Linked DNA regions of Schizosaccharomyces pombe. Changing the gene in region 2 together with the main gene of any one other region gives a genetic interaction. Each region holds a gene or a part of one and is shown on either strand. Other genes may lie near its edges.

The links. A genetic interaction does not mean that the proteins touch.
Region 1: mutations in saf1 (region 2) and cwf11 impair growth when combined (synthetic growth defect), as found in Schizosaccharomyces pombe (2 studies listed by BioGRID).

The regions. Positions count from the first base shown.
Region 1 is NC_003423.3:921,133-929,271, reverse strand, and holds cwf11 (protein Cwf11), read right to left. Parts: upstream 6,601-8,139; 5' UTR 6,548-6,600; coding exon 2,693-6,547; 3' UTR 2,631-2,692; downstream 1-2,630. Other genes in the region: mRNA cleavage and polyadenylation specificity factor poly(A) polymerase Pla1, read right to left, coding at 1-283; gta1 (glutamyl-tRNA amidotransferase alpha subunit), read right to left, coding at 914-1,256, 1,304-2,129, 2,176-2,422; TORC1 serine/threonine protein kinase Tor2, read left to right, coding at 6,988-8,139. UniProt on the Schizosaccharomyces pombe protein: Involved in mRNA splicing where it associates with cdc5 and the other cwf proteins as part of the spliceosome.
Region 2 is NC_003421.2:1,649,579-1,657,843, reverse strand, and holds saf1 (splicing-associated factor Saf1), read right to left. Parts: upstream 3,997-8,265; 5' UTR 3,969-3,996; coding exon 3,132-3,968; 3' UTR 2,262-3,131; downstream 1-2,261. Other genes in the region: trp663 (TRP-like ion channel protein), read left to right, coding at 1-213; NatA N-acetyltransferase subunit Naa50, read left to right, coding at 328-762; poly(A) polymerase Cid12, read right to left, coding at 1,165-2,175; trm44 (tRNA (uracil-O(2)-)-methyltransferase), read right to left, coding at 5,064-6,572; SPOM_SPCC663.09C (dehydrogenase), read left to right, coding at 7,555-8,265.

The DNA.
Region 1 (8,139 bases), on a different chromosome or scaffold from region 2:
CATAAACGCCCAGTCTATAACTTCCGTACGTAAAAATTTTCCCCCCTGCCTCATTAGCCATCTTTTCGTTCATATGTTTGGCAAGTGATACTTTCTTTACAAATTCTGTCGTTATTTGTTGCAACTCATCAAGAACCTTTACTCTTTTTTCAGATTCGGCAGGAGATTCAAACAAGTTTTGGTTCTTCAACTCATTAATTAAAGCCGTATTCAAAGCATTTTCCTGTTCAGTAGCAGGTGCAGTACTAATTGGCGGTGTAATACCCCATTGCTTGGTAGTCATGCTTTGAAAACAAAAATTGGAGTCTTGAAAGGTAGCTGTTTTAAATTATCCTAACCTTTAAAAACAACTGGTTTAAAGCGTACTAATGCTAAATGTGTAGATCTGGTTAGCATTCGTTTAGGATTTAAGGCATAAATACGCAATTTCACAAAGTGCGTTATCTTATTATAATGTCAAAAAATTCATTTACAGTTGCACTGAGACATTTATTTCGATTAAATCAAATTTAATTTATCTGGTAAATTATACAATTGTTGCTGTTTATCATATATATCTTGACAGTGCACTATGTTCATTATCTGACAAACCGATTGCTCCTGGTTTTGTATTTAAAAGCTTACCCGTTAAATTCCATCCTTCAGATATGCATTTTTTTTGGTTGAATAAACTAGCGACTTGAAATGTAAAAATAATTTATGTTGCTGAGAAGTGTAAATGATTCAGAATCCACATCTATTTATTGGATTTACCGCAGTTGTAGGGAAACTGTCGAATTATTGATGACAAGTTCTCCAAAACTCTTTGCAAACAAGTTTCAATGTATGAAATTGATTCCAAACAGTAAAGAATTATTATGCTCATAAAGATTATCATAGCCATGTTTCGAGAGTTTAGATAAGCAGCCGAAATCTATGCAAACTGGCCTGCAAAAGACAACAAATCTTCGTCATTAAGATATTGGGCCATAATTTGAATTCCCATTGGAAGCCCATTGTTCAAAGTACCGAAAGGTATGCTAACGGATGGTATTCCAGCCATATTCGCTGGAACTAACATAGTATCTGAAAGATGACTATAAGAGGACGGGGTTTCAATGGGTTGACTGGAATTAAAAAAAGAAGGGGTAACTATGAAATCGATGTCACCCCTGGGATCATCGACAGAAAAGGAAGGTAGAAAAAAGTTTTTGTTGAATTCCAGCTGTATGGCTCGGCGAACGTATCGAGCCTTAGAAAACAAATCAGAGGAATTCCTATTTGTAAATATTAGTAACTACTTAGTAAATCAGTTATATCATACATTCTTGCTAGTGAATAAGCGCCTAGCAGTAGCCTCTTTTTCACTTCGTCTCCTAAAAAAAAAGAGCGTGCAGTAGATGAAATTATTTCCTCTTCGAACTTTTCATCTAAACAATTGCCAAATGCGATAGTATTATATTTAGCCAAATTTGAAGTCGCTTCTGCATAAGCCATTGTGGAATATACACTGTTAGCGTATAATGAAATTGGAAGCTGTATTTCTTGGACAAGATAACCATTTGATTTCAGAAGAGATATGAATTCATTCCACTTATCTAAAACGTTTGGATGAGTCTCAGAAACATTCCAGTCAATTGGAATTCCTATTTTAATTGGCTTCCGCGATAATTTTTTGTGCTGCTCTTTAACAAAATAACGAGCTTCTTTAGTTAAACAGGTTGAGTCATTTATGTCGGGATGGTCTAAAACATTAAATACTTTGGTAACGCCCTTAACATTATTTGCAGCGATACCCACTGTGTCAAAACTATTGGCAAAGGCAAGCATTCCATATCTCGAAATCCTGCCGAAAGATGGTTTAAAACCTACACAACCTACGTAAGCAGCAGGTAGACGGATTGATCCTCCTGTGTCTGAACCAACTGATGCATAACATATATCCGCCGCGATTGCAGCAGCAGCTCCTCCCGAGCTGCCCCCAACATCGTAATTACTATCCTTAACAACAGGATTAACAGTGCGACCAAAAAGATTGTTTTCGCTCTTGACTCCCATTGCAAACTCATCCATATTTGTTTTACCAAGAATAATACCGCCGGCTTTCTTCAAGCTTTCGACAATTGACGCATCAAACGGAGAATTGTAGTCTAGTTAAACCGCAATTAGTAACTGAAATATATTCTTATTGTCTACCCTTCAACATATTAGAGGCTGCCGTGGTTAAATTTGTCTTCGTGCAAATATTTTCCTTTACTGTAATCAGTTTCCATTTTAACGGAAGCTTCTTTTCCAGTGGTAATTTACTAATTTCAACAAATGAATCATATAGATATTCGGCACTATTTATTGAAGTTAAAGACTTAATTTTCGCATCATTTAGAATGATACTAGCATATTTAGCTGCAACTTCTTTTAATAAATTGTTATATTTATTACTCATTCGACCAATCAATCATTGGACGTTAACTTCGTGCAAATAATGTATTACCCAACTTGTTGTATAGTTGAATAAAGTAGTGAGCTATTATCGGTATGACACCTAAGACTTTTTCTGAGGGGATCAACTTTTTATTGTTTGTAAAGCTCACTATTTAGTTTTTTAAATAAGTTAATTATGCAAAAAAGCAATGAAATAAAATGACTTTAATCTTACAAATAATCATTAATTCAATACAACAAGCAAATAGTCTATATGAAGTAGGTTTTTATTTTAATTCGTATTTAACCTTTTTTTAGTCATTTCAACAACATAGTTTGAGAGATGAAGTAAATTTTCAATTTCAAATGTTTCAACGGAAGATCCGATTTTGTGAGAACTTGGATATATTTCTCCCGTGGTTAAAAGCAGCTTGTCAGGAGTCTTTTCAATTTCATTCCACAGTTTTTCAAGACCACGTGTAGAGCGAAAAAGGTCACGGTTGCACAATACGTACAGACCATATGAGCATGCTGAAAAGGCTTTATAAAATGTTTTTGGATTCCAATGATCAGAGGCCTCTTTAGATTCAACTGTCGTAAATATAACAAAGTTTACCCGTTTATCGCTTGGTAATTTTTCCACGGTACCTACAAAAGCAGGCTGACCAAAAAACGAGTTATGAGAACAGCGTACCGATATAATTTCATTTAAAAGGCTGACTTGACTCTCATAAAGCGTACAGATTACAATTTCGTTGGTGGGATAACCTAACATTCGCATGTACTGGAATAAGGCAACTGCGTACTCGGCTTCTCCAAGATTTTGCTTATAACCGCTAACGGGTTCTGTTTCTTGAGAACCTTTAAAAGCTCCCACATTAATAAATTGGACCTCATGTGCAAACCCCGAATTACCATAATCAAGTCTTTTATTGGGACTAGAATCCACAGTTTTGATGTCCAAAGGATAAATTGATGAACATAGAGAACTGATAGATTCTCTAACATTGTATTGCGTATTAAGGTCAATAATTCTGGATTTCAAATACCGCAAACGTTTGAAAAGTGAACCATTTGACGTATTATTTATATCCTGATTCCCAGAGGTAAGATATTGATTACCCAGAAGAACAAGGCGATCAAAACCAGTTGGTTCACAGTTTGAAAGTAGTATGCTAGTGATAGAGCTTTCACTTATATTTTGTGAGTTCATAACAATTAAATTGTTAAAGCAAAATCCCTTTTCTTTCAAAGTCCCTAAGCGTGTACTTAAGCTCGTCCAAGTGCATCCGATAATCCTAGATTGTTGGCATAATGCATACAATTCTTGATCTTCATAATATCTCAGTAATCCAAAAGGCCGGATCTCTTCCAGCTGTTGGAACATATATTCTAACTCCCCGTATAACTTTGTCGCATAATCGAAAAAATTATCTTTATTATACGTTTCTATCGGACGCTTAGATTTGTCACCGAAATACGAATGGAAAGGGAACCTGTTATAGGCATCCACAGAATCCTTATCATCTACCGTGTTCAAGTACTTTTCCCAAAGTCGCTTAATATAAGCATCCCTAAAATACAAAGCCGTATCTGGGCTGGCGTCATGAGAACCTGGAGCCTGGATTGAAGCAGCTAGGCGACCGATTTCTCGTAGAAGACCAGGAAGCTTAGATATCCAAGACGATAAAGTACCATAACGTTCCAACGTTTCGTCTTTTCCTTCATCAGATAGATATAATAGGTGCCCTTGGTGAAAACATCTAGCTTTTTCCAGTAAGGTAAACAAAGTATTCATAGAGAAATTGGAGTCAGAAAGTACAACGGTTCTATCATTGGGAGATGTGTCTTGTAAAACCTCTAGAAGTTTGCATACCAAAACATGTTTTCCACAACGAGTTGGACCATTAACCATAGTTAATCCTGGTTGAGATCCACGTAAAATCGATTCTAGCTGTTTGTCATTGTAAGTATATAATCGATTTGATGGTAGTAAAAAATGCCTATCAGATGCGGTAACATCAGCTGATATTTTGTTCTGATTAGTATAAAATTTGATTAGTAAAGATTCAGTTGATAAATTAGAAGGTACATGACAATTAGGAAGTACTGATTGCAACTGTTCGACTGTATTGAACAAGTTTCTAGCATAAATAGAATTAAGCCCAGCATTAGGAAAAGCACATATATCAGGCGTTCCAAAACCCAAAAATAAATCTTCGAACCATTTAGGAAATTCTTTAGCGCGATTAAGTAAAGATACAAGAATATTTAAGTCCAACCAATACTTATTTGCCTCAGGAGACAGTACCAAAGCAAAGTTGAACTTCAATTGCTTAGGGCGATATTCCCCCAACCCCGCAAGGGAATGATAATAAAATGGGCTTAGGTATACATTGATGGACTTGTTGTCAGAATCTGACTGCATATCGCTTTGAAACATTCCAACATCATCATTGCATATCGTCGCGATTGTAAAATCAGTCACCCCTTCTAAGGGGTCAAGCGCATTACCATGTAATAACTTGTACTCCATATCTTTAGAAATGTATATTAAGCAAAGAAAAGGGCTCTTGATGGAATTCTTTAAATCACGTAACGCTGAATGAAAAGGTCCAGGTCGACTTAAACCCATTTGACACTTTACAAATTGAGGTAAAACTTGACCGATTTGAGGTGGAGCAACGGAGGTAACTTTAAAGTTATTTAAAGAGAAAAAATTATCTTTGGTCAAATTCTTGGTCGCATTTTTAATTGATAGTCTCCTGTATTGTTCACTGAAATTTAAAAGTTCAGCATATAGTGACCTTAACAATAACTTTTTGTAAGCTTTACTCTGTTGTCTCATAAAAAAAGATATAGAAAGATATTGTATAGCAGTGTTTTGTAGTAGGAAGTAATTGGTCAAAGAGTTTTCTTGGTCCATCACGGATCGCTCACCAAGTACATCTTTCAAAGTAAAATTTATGATTTCATCATAATCATTTACCAATCTAGTCCTATCATACGTGTTAATAAAAACATTTTTTAAAAATTCGAAATCCACTTTTATAGCATATTTTTCGGGAAATGAAGTCCTCAAATAACATTTACTACACAAGGACTTAAGTGAATTGAAGGAAAGAAAAGACGTAATTTCCTCCAATTTTTGTCGCTGTTGTAAAGAGGTTTGTGTGCAAAATACCAGATCCCCTAATTCCTTCTGAAAATCCGAAAATAAAGTTAACTGTAAGTGGTAGTACACAAGCTCATCATTTCTGATTTTTTGTTCTTTCTCATATTCGTTACCTCTGGTATTATCAAAAGGGAATTTCAAAACATAGTTTAAGTCGTCTGTCATTTTTTTAAAAAGCTCATTACTGTCGTAATACAAAGACATTCTTAATGCGGTATAAAAACAACTGTCTTCTATTACGGGATGAGCAAAGCGACGTGTGGGAAATGCGGATAGTAAAACCAAAGACATATTGATAATTGCTAAAAGGGGGGTTACTTTCGCTTCTTGTTTTTCAGTTTGAGCGTAGCTAATCGATTTAATAAGCAGAGAATGAATCCAGCGGGAAAGTAAATTATGTAAAGGGAACTTTTCAACGATAGACGGTCGTTTTTCCTTATAAGAATCAAAGGCTTTCGTCAGAGAGCTTGAGTCATGTAGTAAATATTTTACTTTATCAAGATTATCAAGCGAATTTAAAATAGAAATGTTCGTTAACTGGTAAACAAGTTTCCTTAATTTCTCTATATTCGAAAACTGAAAACAGAGAGTAATGAATTGAATCATGTAAACCACTTCTGATAAATTTAAGGATAAAGAGACTTCAATTACTTTTTCAAAAAATAATTGAAACCGATTTTCATCAATGAGGTCCCATGTAATATATTCATATTTGGATTTGTATAATAGAAGCATACAAGTTAAGTTTATATGGTTCAATGACATCTCAGTATTAACCCTCTGCCAAAGGAAATTCTCAAAAAGCTTTAACTCATGTAACAGACTAAGTACTTGCTTAGCATCTTTACTTACAATGACAGCTTCGAGGATGCATTGTAGCATAGTTTCTTGAAATTCTACACCTTCATTTTGACCCCAATTCGAATTTGCATAATTAATGATTTGTTTTTTTTTGTTTTTATACAGAACCATTTAATAGAGAAAGGGATATTAGCAATATCACAAGTGTTGTGAACTTGGTGGTTAGCGTCAGAATCTTTAACAGCGATTCTTATTTGTTCTCCTCTATGAGCTTTGAGAAAAATGTAAAGTAAAAAACTTAAAGTAATACTTCGAAAATAAAATTTAGATAATCAACACTCGTTTTTGGTATTTTACCAAAGTTCCTAAGTTTAGACTTTTTTTAATAAAACTTGGATTTTTTGAGAACACTAAATATTAACTTGTATATCTATTACAAATAATTAATCGTCATAAAAATATTACTTTTTCAATCGTGTTTCTATTGATCTCCTCTCTGCGTATACTAAGAATTAGGTGCAAAAGTACAGCAGGTGCTTGTTTGGTCACCACCAACCACATTTAATAATTTTGTTTAATTGAGAGAATGATGCTAATTTAAGCTGTATATAATGAAAGAATTTCCTGGGTTGAAAAGCAGGAATGAAGAAATTCGCAATAAAGCGGCAAATGATCTTTATGAATATGTTATAGCTTATTCTCGAGAATTATCGGGCGAAGCTTTAGTTCAGTTTAACAATGATGTTAACAAGTACGTTTATACTTTAATTCACAGTACCGATCCACTCGATCGTCTGGCAGGCGTAACTGCCATAAATCGTCTAATTGATTATGAAGGAGAAGATACTACAAGGATTACTAGATTTGCAAATTATTTGCGTATTATTCTTCCAGGAACTGACCAAAAAGCCACCGTTCTTGCTGCAAAAGCTTTAGGGAGACTTGCAGTTCCTGGAGGTGCTCTAACTTCTGAATTTGTGAACTTCGAAGTTAAACGCGCTTTGGAATGGCTTCAAGGAGAACGTAATGAAAATCGTAGATATGCAGCAGTGCTTATACTTAAGGAGCTTGCCAAAAATACGTCTACATTAATCTATGCTCATATCGATTCAATTTTTGAGCTTTTATGGCATGGACTTCGGGATCCAAAAGTTACTATTCGAATAGCTTCGGCTGATGCGTTGAGTGAGTTCTTGAAAATCGTTAGGCAAAGGGATTCATCCATCCGTCTCCAATGGTATACAAGTATTCTCAATGAAGCTCAACGTGGTGTTGCACAGGGTTCTTCTGATTACATTCATGGTAGTTTACTAGTATATCGCCAATTATTTTTAAAAGCTGGAATGTTTATGCATGAGAGGTATCGAGAAGTATCGGACATTATATTGCAATTCAGAGATCACAAAGATTTGCTTATTCGCAAAACCGTTACAGAATTGATTGCTACACTCGCAGCTTATAATCCAGATGAATTTGTTTCCAATTATTTACACGTTTGTATGCTCCATCTACTTAATCTATTAAAAAAAGAAAATGTTAAGATGTTGGCGTTTGCCACTATTGGAAAAGTTGCCGTGGCTATTACTAATAGCATAATCCCATATCTTGACCCCATATGCGATTCAATCAAGGAAAGTCTAAAAATCCATATCCGTAATAAAAGTGCTTCGGATGCTGCAATTTTTCAATGCATTAGCCTACTTTCTATAGCACTAGGACAAGCCTTTTCAAACTATGCGTATGACCTCTTTGACTTAATATTT
Region 2 (8,265 bases):
GCAAGTGAAAAGCTATCCACCGAAGAGATTATCCCACAAGAATCAAATTTTGAAGAGCCCTCTACCACAAAGAAAGAAGGAAACGTAGACACAAAGGAAGATGGAAATGACGATGTCTTCAGCCTTGTTAACGCTTCTCCTATGCGACCAGCATCTACAATACCTTCACATTCATGTGACAACGGGATTAATGAAATGCAGCGTACTGTTTAAAGATTTTATCGTGGATGTTTCCAACTCAAACTATTGCATTAGAATGCCTTAAAGACTGAAAGTTGACAACACCAAGTACATATAGAAAAAGATATTTGCATTTGCATAAAAAAGATGATTGAACTTGATGCGATTAACCCTAATAATCTGAAAATCCTTGAAGTTATTAACGAAAAGTGTTTTGATCCTGAAATCATTATATTTCCAACCTCCTTTTACAAAGACACAATCTCAGTCGGGCCTTTAGCACAATATGCGTACTTTAACCAGGTCTGCGTAGGAGCTGTTAGATGCAAAAAAGAAACACATAATAAATCGCACAAAATCCAAATTTTATCTTTGGCAGTTTTGCCAGCCTATCGAAACCGTTCTATTGGTACCAAGCTGTTGGAATATGCTTGCGAGACTGCAGCTGAGGGAAAAGCCAAAGAAATTTACATTAAATTAAGCCCTAAACTCGATGTATCCGAATGGTTTATTCATCGGGGATTCATTATTGATGAGAGCTCCAAAACAGAAGATAGCGTCCTTCTTTCGAAAAAGCTATAGATTGCACACACATTTATTAATCTAAGTGAAATGCAATTATTAAATTGACTTGAAAATCTAACATGGATCCTTGGATAGATTTTAAAAGAATAAAATAGATTTAATTTTGAAATTTTTAAAGAACAGATTTTGTTAGCACCTTCAATAGGTACAAAATGTGATATCATTTGAAACAGCCGAACCTTGCCTAAGTAAAATTAAAAGACTTGAAAATGACTAAGATAATTGTAGGATTCTTATATCCTATCAATAATAAGAATATGAATCCATTCAATTAAACAAGAGTAAAGTACATACGAACTGTAGTGAAACATTACCACATGCGGCAAGACAACTTAGGAATTGAAAAACAAATGTTTATTTAAACAGCGAGCATTATTTTTTAAATGCATTAACCCGCAGTTATCCGCCAGCTTGTAATTCATCTGATTCCGTATCACTATCATATCCCTCCACCAAACTTCGTTTAGTATTTATAACATTTTCAAACTGTTTACACAAAAACATTTCATCTTCCGTAATTGCAAAGGTGCTAAACCATGTCTTATCGGATAATAATTCATTAGCTGAAGCAACAAATGCAGCTTTAATCATACTAATTTGAAATGATTGCTTTCCAATGTCGTTATTTCTGTCAATTGGATCTTCAATAGATAGCAAATTTGGTTGCACTTCGTTTAACCAGCCCTTTTGTAGCTTAGGAACTATTTGACCGGTTAAAGGTCTCAATACAAAAAGTTCGTATGTCCATTCGACTCCCCAAAAATAGAAGAATTTCTGTAGTAAAGCTCGAATTGGTTGCACTTCCGAATCAATTCCCTTTTTGTGAAATCGCATTTCAAGCCAACCAATTAGCATATAAGAGAGCGCGCAACTTGCAATCCCGCCATGATGAACGTTTTCCAAATCTCTTTCAAACAACCAGTGCTTCAATAGCATCAGCAATCTACCAAAAATTGGGTGTTCTTCGTTATAAGCTTTTTGCAATTCAGCAGTTCTGCAAGCTTTGTCATTTCCAAACGTCAAATCCACCCCAATTCCACTAACATCTACTAAATTGATGCGAGGGACTCTGGCACTAGAATGGAAATCAGCATCAGCATCCAAGTACTTTCTTAAAACCATGGTGACGCGTCGTTTCTCCAATTCTCCAACTCGAGGTGACTTCAAAGATACGTCTACATCACTTATAGATAATGTTGTTCCAATATACATGCTACCGTATACTTGAAGTTCAGCATCCAAAACGACCTCCCTAATGTGAGTCTGTAGTTTCTCTAACAAAAGCTTTCTGTACTTCAATTCCTCGATTTTCGGGCTTACGAACTCCAAAAATGAATAAAGTCGAGCATTATCACTCAAACCTTCTTCATTCCATGGTACTGAATGCAGCTCTAACAGGACTTTACCCATTCTTAAGAAATGGCATTTTGGCTAATTTTAATATCAATGGATTCAATTTCATGGCTCCTCGCACATAACGAGGTCGTGCGAGTGCCTTGTAATTATATGTAAATAAATCATTTTATAGCAAAAAAAAGTATCACGAGTTTTTAATCAATAAATAACTTATTTGTTTTTATAAATAATAGAATGATTGACTGCAAAAGCTTCCTAGTCTCATACAGCATTTATAGCGAAAACCAAAGATTATGAACCCAAGAAAAGCAAGCAAAAGATAGATAAGTACTCCCTCATCTCTCATTGTGCAAATTTTAACTTAAGCATGTGTATTTCGATTTTTAAAGGTTTCCTTTATGATATTTTTATTTGATAAACGAATTCGTTGGTTTACGCATGTAAATACTGTCATGGCGTCTAAATACATATGAAAATAAAATAAAATTAATCCAAGTAATTAGTCATGTACTTCTTTCTTTTTGGTAATCTGATTCGTAATGAACAGTGTAGGACTAAGTGTAACAATCATAATTTAGCAAAAGACAAATTCACAAAAAACAGTCAACTTGAAATAATCACGGAAAGATGAATATAAGGTGTTTTTTTGAAATCCCCTTTCGCTCAAGCAGTGTAAAAGTGACTATAATAAGGAATTATTGAACCAAGAAAACATTAATAAATATCATGCAATAACACAGAAACAAAATCTCCTTTGTTTTTTTTGGACATCAAAAATTTGAAATTATTGACCGCATCATAATAATAAGCCTTTGAATTAACTTATGAAAGCTCACTCATAATTGAATAAAACAAAAAAACAAGTACAGAGATGCAATCAAGCTCCTTTAAAATTGAACCTAGTAAACAGATATTATATATAAATTAATATGCATGTTTATTAACTAAAAATTCCGTCTACACCCATTTGGTAATCCTTACTTCCAATCTCCATAATTTTAACGACTTTTTTATAGATATCCGCCAATTTCTTTGTAGAAATTATCTATTTCTTCATCCTTGTCTTCCTGAACTTGGCTCGATACATCCCTGTCTGGCTGTCCAATTTTCTGCCCCTTGGCTAGTTTTTGTCGTTGAAACGCAGCAGGTAAAAATTGAGCAGCTTCTTGTCGTAAATCTCTGACTACCGGCTGAGCTGAGTACTCAATCATAGTTTCCTCTTCAATGTCCTTCGTATTTGCAGCAGCTTCTGTCGTAGTAGTGGATTTTGGTTGTGCTGAACTTGCATTTATGTCTTGCTTTTTGTGGTGCTTTGGCTTAAAGCTCTTATTTTTCTTTTCCCTTGGCTTTGGATCCTCAAAAGGATATTCTTCAGAAGGTAAAGGTATATCAATAACGGATTCATCTGTTTCTGAACTTAGTTCTTCCTTCTCACGATAAGGCATTCCTGGCGGCGGAACTCCGTAAGGATTAAATATTGGATCATAATATATACTTCGTTTTGGGTTTTTAGGGATAAAAGGCTTTCTAGGTTTATGTTGACGTTCTGCCTCCTTAGTCTTGTCTGACTCAACACGCCCAACTCTATGTCCATGAATGTTTTTCTTCTTCATAATTGCCATATCTCTTTGCAAATTTTGTAATAATTGCTTGTCATGTGCATTTAAAGCTTGCGAAGATTCTAATTGTGTCAGCTCTGATAATTGGCGTTCCATTTGGCTCATATTCCTATGCGACAGTCGTTCTTCATGGCGTTTTGCTCTTTCTTCTCGCACTTTAATTTGTTCTCTTTTTTTCTTCTTTCTGCTCTCCGCTTGAACGGGATTTAATCCCCGTTTTGACAGCATTCTGTAGAGTCAAGTATAGTATGGGTTTAGAATGGTGGTGATCAAAAACGTGACATGTATAAAATATTTAGGCAAATAGACAAAGAATAGTATTAAATTGGTTTGAGTAATCGACCGTTTACATTAAATTTAAATAAAGAATAATTAGTAATGTTGAAGTTGATGAGCTAAAAACTAAAGTTAATAGGCTGGTAATTAATTGTGTATATAGAGTATGAGTCAATGATGGAATTTCAGAATCTTTTCGTTTAAGTATATTCTACTGTATTAGCAATCATTTAGTAGAATTGGGCTTTAAAACGTAATTATTTTTCTGGCCTTGCATTTCAAGGCTTCCATTTTTGACATGTAAGAGTTGGCTATTTAAGAAAAAGTACTTACTCATTGAACTTGGCAATTGTCAAATATTTGAAATATGCATACTCCTTATTTTAGTGATATTTTTCAGCTTGACTTCCCGTTTAAAAAATGAATTACTGCTTAGTAGAGGGAACATTTATGATGGAAGGTGATTTATAGTCGTGGATTCAACAAACAGTAGCAAAGTTCGTTGAAAATAATTAAATTCTTCTATGTCACTTATTAGTAGACCCAAAATCAACAGTTTACGTTACAACAATTGATAGGTTTTACGCTAATCAAAAACATATTGACAACCATCTACATTACAAACGCGTTTATGAACCAATCACATATAGTTTTATTTTCTTGTAAACATGAAAGCATTTTATTAACCATTAAATCTTGATCGATAAGAGAACAAACAATTTTGCCATTTTTACGAACCAAGTTCCTCATCCGGAAATCCGTAAGCTTGGCAGATACAATGGCTGTTCCATCTTCACCGAATCCAATAACCGATAGTCATCGAACGGCCAGTAAGAGATTACCAGCACACGAACTATATCAATTTCAGAGGATGGTGTTAGTAGTAAGAAAAACAAGCCATCATTTGGGACTATAAACATCTAAAAAGCAGTCACTCAACTAACGAACTTTAAAGCATTTAAAGTTGAGTAAGCGAATCAAGGGCAACTATCGAACTTTGTCCGTATGGCAGAATTCTATATATTAAAAAAATGGAAATTTTTTGAACTAATGAGACCGAGAATTAGCCGCTGCAACTTGCATAGCATGGACAAAAAACCCTTGTGAGCCATGATTTTTTTCTACGATGTCGTACAAAGCATCGGTGCTTAAACTGGAGTGCAGCAGATCATTCGATAGTAATTTTCTACCTATAAGAGCGTAATTTCTGGTGCTAGGAATGCGTAGTGGTTCAACCTCGATATTCCAACCTACCTCCTCTGACAGCTGCATGAGCCATTCAATGTACATGGCGTATCTTCCTCCATGTTTGGGATTTCGAGGTTTCGGTAATGCCCAGGAAATTTTAGCACCTGTCAGATCATGAACGCAACAAGGAATCGACATGAAATAGCATTTCTGATTTAATCTTGCTAAAATGGGAAGATAAGGAGTCAATTCATCCGCATGGTTTCCGATAAGGAATGAGTTTTCAGAAAATCGACCGTCATGAATGTTTGCAGCGGACATAGTGAAACCGGCAGGCAGCTGAGGAAATGGAATCTTTGTTTCAAAATCATGCAGAAAATAGGGTACAAGAACTTTTTCGTATAACTTTACTTGAACCCAAAGGGGATATGTCTCCCATGATTTTCTTTTTCTAGCGTCGAAGCCATATCCATTATAGCCCTCCATTAACAACAGATAAACAAGTAAACCATTTCCGCAACCAACATCAACAAAACTAAATTCTTTGTTTGATGAATAAGTTTGTTTCCACAATTCTATAAGAAATGCTGCAATAGCCAAATCTTCGAAAACGTGTTTACCAGGATCCGTTTTTTCTACCCAATTGTCAACAAGTTGCTTGGCGTATTTATCTTTCAGAATAACATAGGTATCTTGAAACTTGTTTCTTTCCACAACAGTGTCGTGAAGCATGCGTTTTTGGTACCCTTCCACTGCCCCCTTGCAATGCTTGTGTAAAACAAGTAAAAGCATATGAGCTGTTCGCAATAAACGGGAAGACAATTCCCTTTGAAAATCCTTTTCTACTAAATATAAAACCTCAACACTTGATCCTTTGTAATGAAAAGCAATTCCAGCTACTGCGGGATGATAGTATGGAAGATGATTATAGGGCTGTTCCAAACTTTTGTCCAGGTGAGGTAAGTACATTAATATACGATCATTTTCAAGCTTCTCATGTAGCACAACAACCGTTTGGTCCATTGTCGCATCCAAATTAGTATTACGAGGAATAATTCGACGATCGATCCACCTTGAAATTTGGTACCTTTCGTCAAGATTTTCGAAAACTGATTTCTGCTTGTTTAGAATTGAATCATCCTCTTGAGAATCAAGAATTATGTCTGTTCGCATGATAACACTGCTTGTCCGCTCTGGATGATAGACTAATTCTATCATCATTTTGTCAAATACCTCAGCTGCATAGCAGGTATCGTGCTCCAAAATGGATTGCCATTGGTAAGATGACTGCAAGTCATAAGGAACAGGTGGATCACATGTCAAAGCATTTTTTGGTTCTCGCGGCTTCCAATACGCAGGAACCTTCATAAATGCAATGCGCAAAAACCTTTCAATTGAACAAGTACGAAAGTACTGTTAGCAGAAAAAAAAATGTCGGAAACTCTAGCGCTTAATTTTAAGCATGTTTAAGGAACGCTTAATATACGTTAAATAAAATACGGATGCGTTGGAGATTTCAAAAACATTTGAATCTGTGTCTTTTCCTGTAGTAAAAAGGGAGAAAGGATTGAATAAATGGTTTGCTCAAAGTTTAACTAGCATTTCCATGAGTTCAGGAATTGCTAAAGGGGAACTTAAGGGTCTAAGCTCCTTTCAAATGAGTAAACAGGTAAATATTAATTCCATAAGGTAAACTTTGCGAATTTTTTTATTCGCAAATTTCCATCCATTTTGTATTGGTCATATAGTCGTAAAGAAGCCTAATCTTGAGATGCTGTAAAACTTCATGTCATATAATCTTACTAAGACACTCTATATACGATTCTCTCTTTCTCCTCAACAAAAATATTATCTTACAGAGGGTTTAAATTGGTAGAGCAAATTGACCTAAGAGGTGAACCAGTAACCTGAGAAAAAATTGCAGCTTCGATGTATGTATGAGATAGATTCTGTAGTTGTTTTATTATAATCTGACAAGTTCTTTCTACCGGAAGATTTCAAAAACGAGGAAAAGTAGTTCTTAAAATTTTTTCATCCTTTACTACGCTCTACAATCAAAATTTTCGATTTCATTAATTAACACGGCTTCTACTTTTTTTATTTTATGCAAGTCCCATATAAAAAGACTGTTAATATCAAGCAGCAAATACCGATAGAATTTTGTAGAATGAAATTTGACGCTTTTGGTTGAGAAAATCAAACGTGTGCAAAATGTCACAGCTCTTCACACGTAAACGAAATAGCGAACAAACACTCCTTATCAATAAAAGTACAGCAAAACACCAAGGAAGTGTCAGTTACTATTAACCAAAAACTAATTGAGAAACGACTTTGAGATTGTACTATAAAGATGGCTACTACCAACAAAGTTTACTTTATTGCAGGAGGAAATCGTGGTATTGGACTCTCTCTTGTCAAAGAGTTAAGCAGTAGAGAAGGAACGACTGTGTTTGCGAGTGCTCGCAAACCCGAAGCTGCTACTGAATTACAAGAATGGAGCAAATCTCATCCTAATGTTAAAACTGTTGAATTAGATGTCACATCTCAGCAGAGTGCCAATGAAGCTGCTCAAAGCGTTGCGAAGGCGGTCGATGGAATTGATGTTCTTTGGTTGAACTCTGGTATTTGTCAATCTTACTATACAGTTATGGAAGCACCTGAAGAAGTTTGGAATGCTCATTATCAAACCAATGTTTTAGGACCTATCCATGTGTTCAAAGCTTTTTATCCGTTGTTGACAAAGAAAAAAACCAGACAGGTTATCTTTACTTCCAGTGAATGCGGCTCAATGGGCGACTTTCGTGCTACTGGATTCTCTGCCTACGGTCAGTCCAAGGCAGCAATCAATTTCACTATGAAGGAACTTAGTGTCGAACTAGCTGATGAACACTTCACATTCATTTCCATTCATCCTGGAGTAGTAAAGACTGATATGAATGCTGATGCTATCAAAAAATTTACTGAAACATCTCCCGAGATGCTGACTTACTTAAAAAAGGTTACTATCATACCCGAAGAAAGCGTTTCATCCATGCTTAAGGTGGTTGACAATTTGAAACCC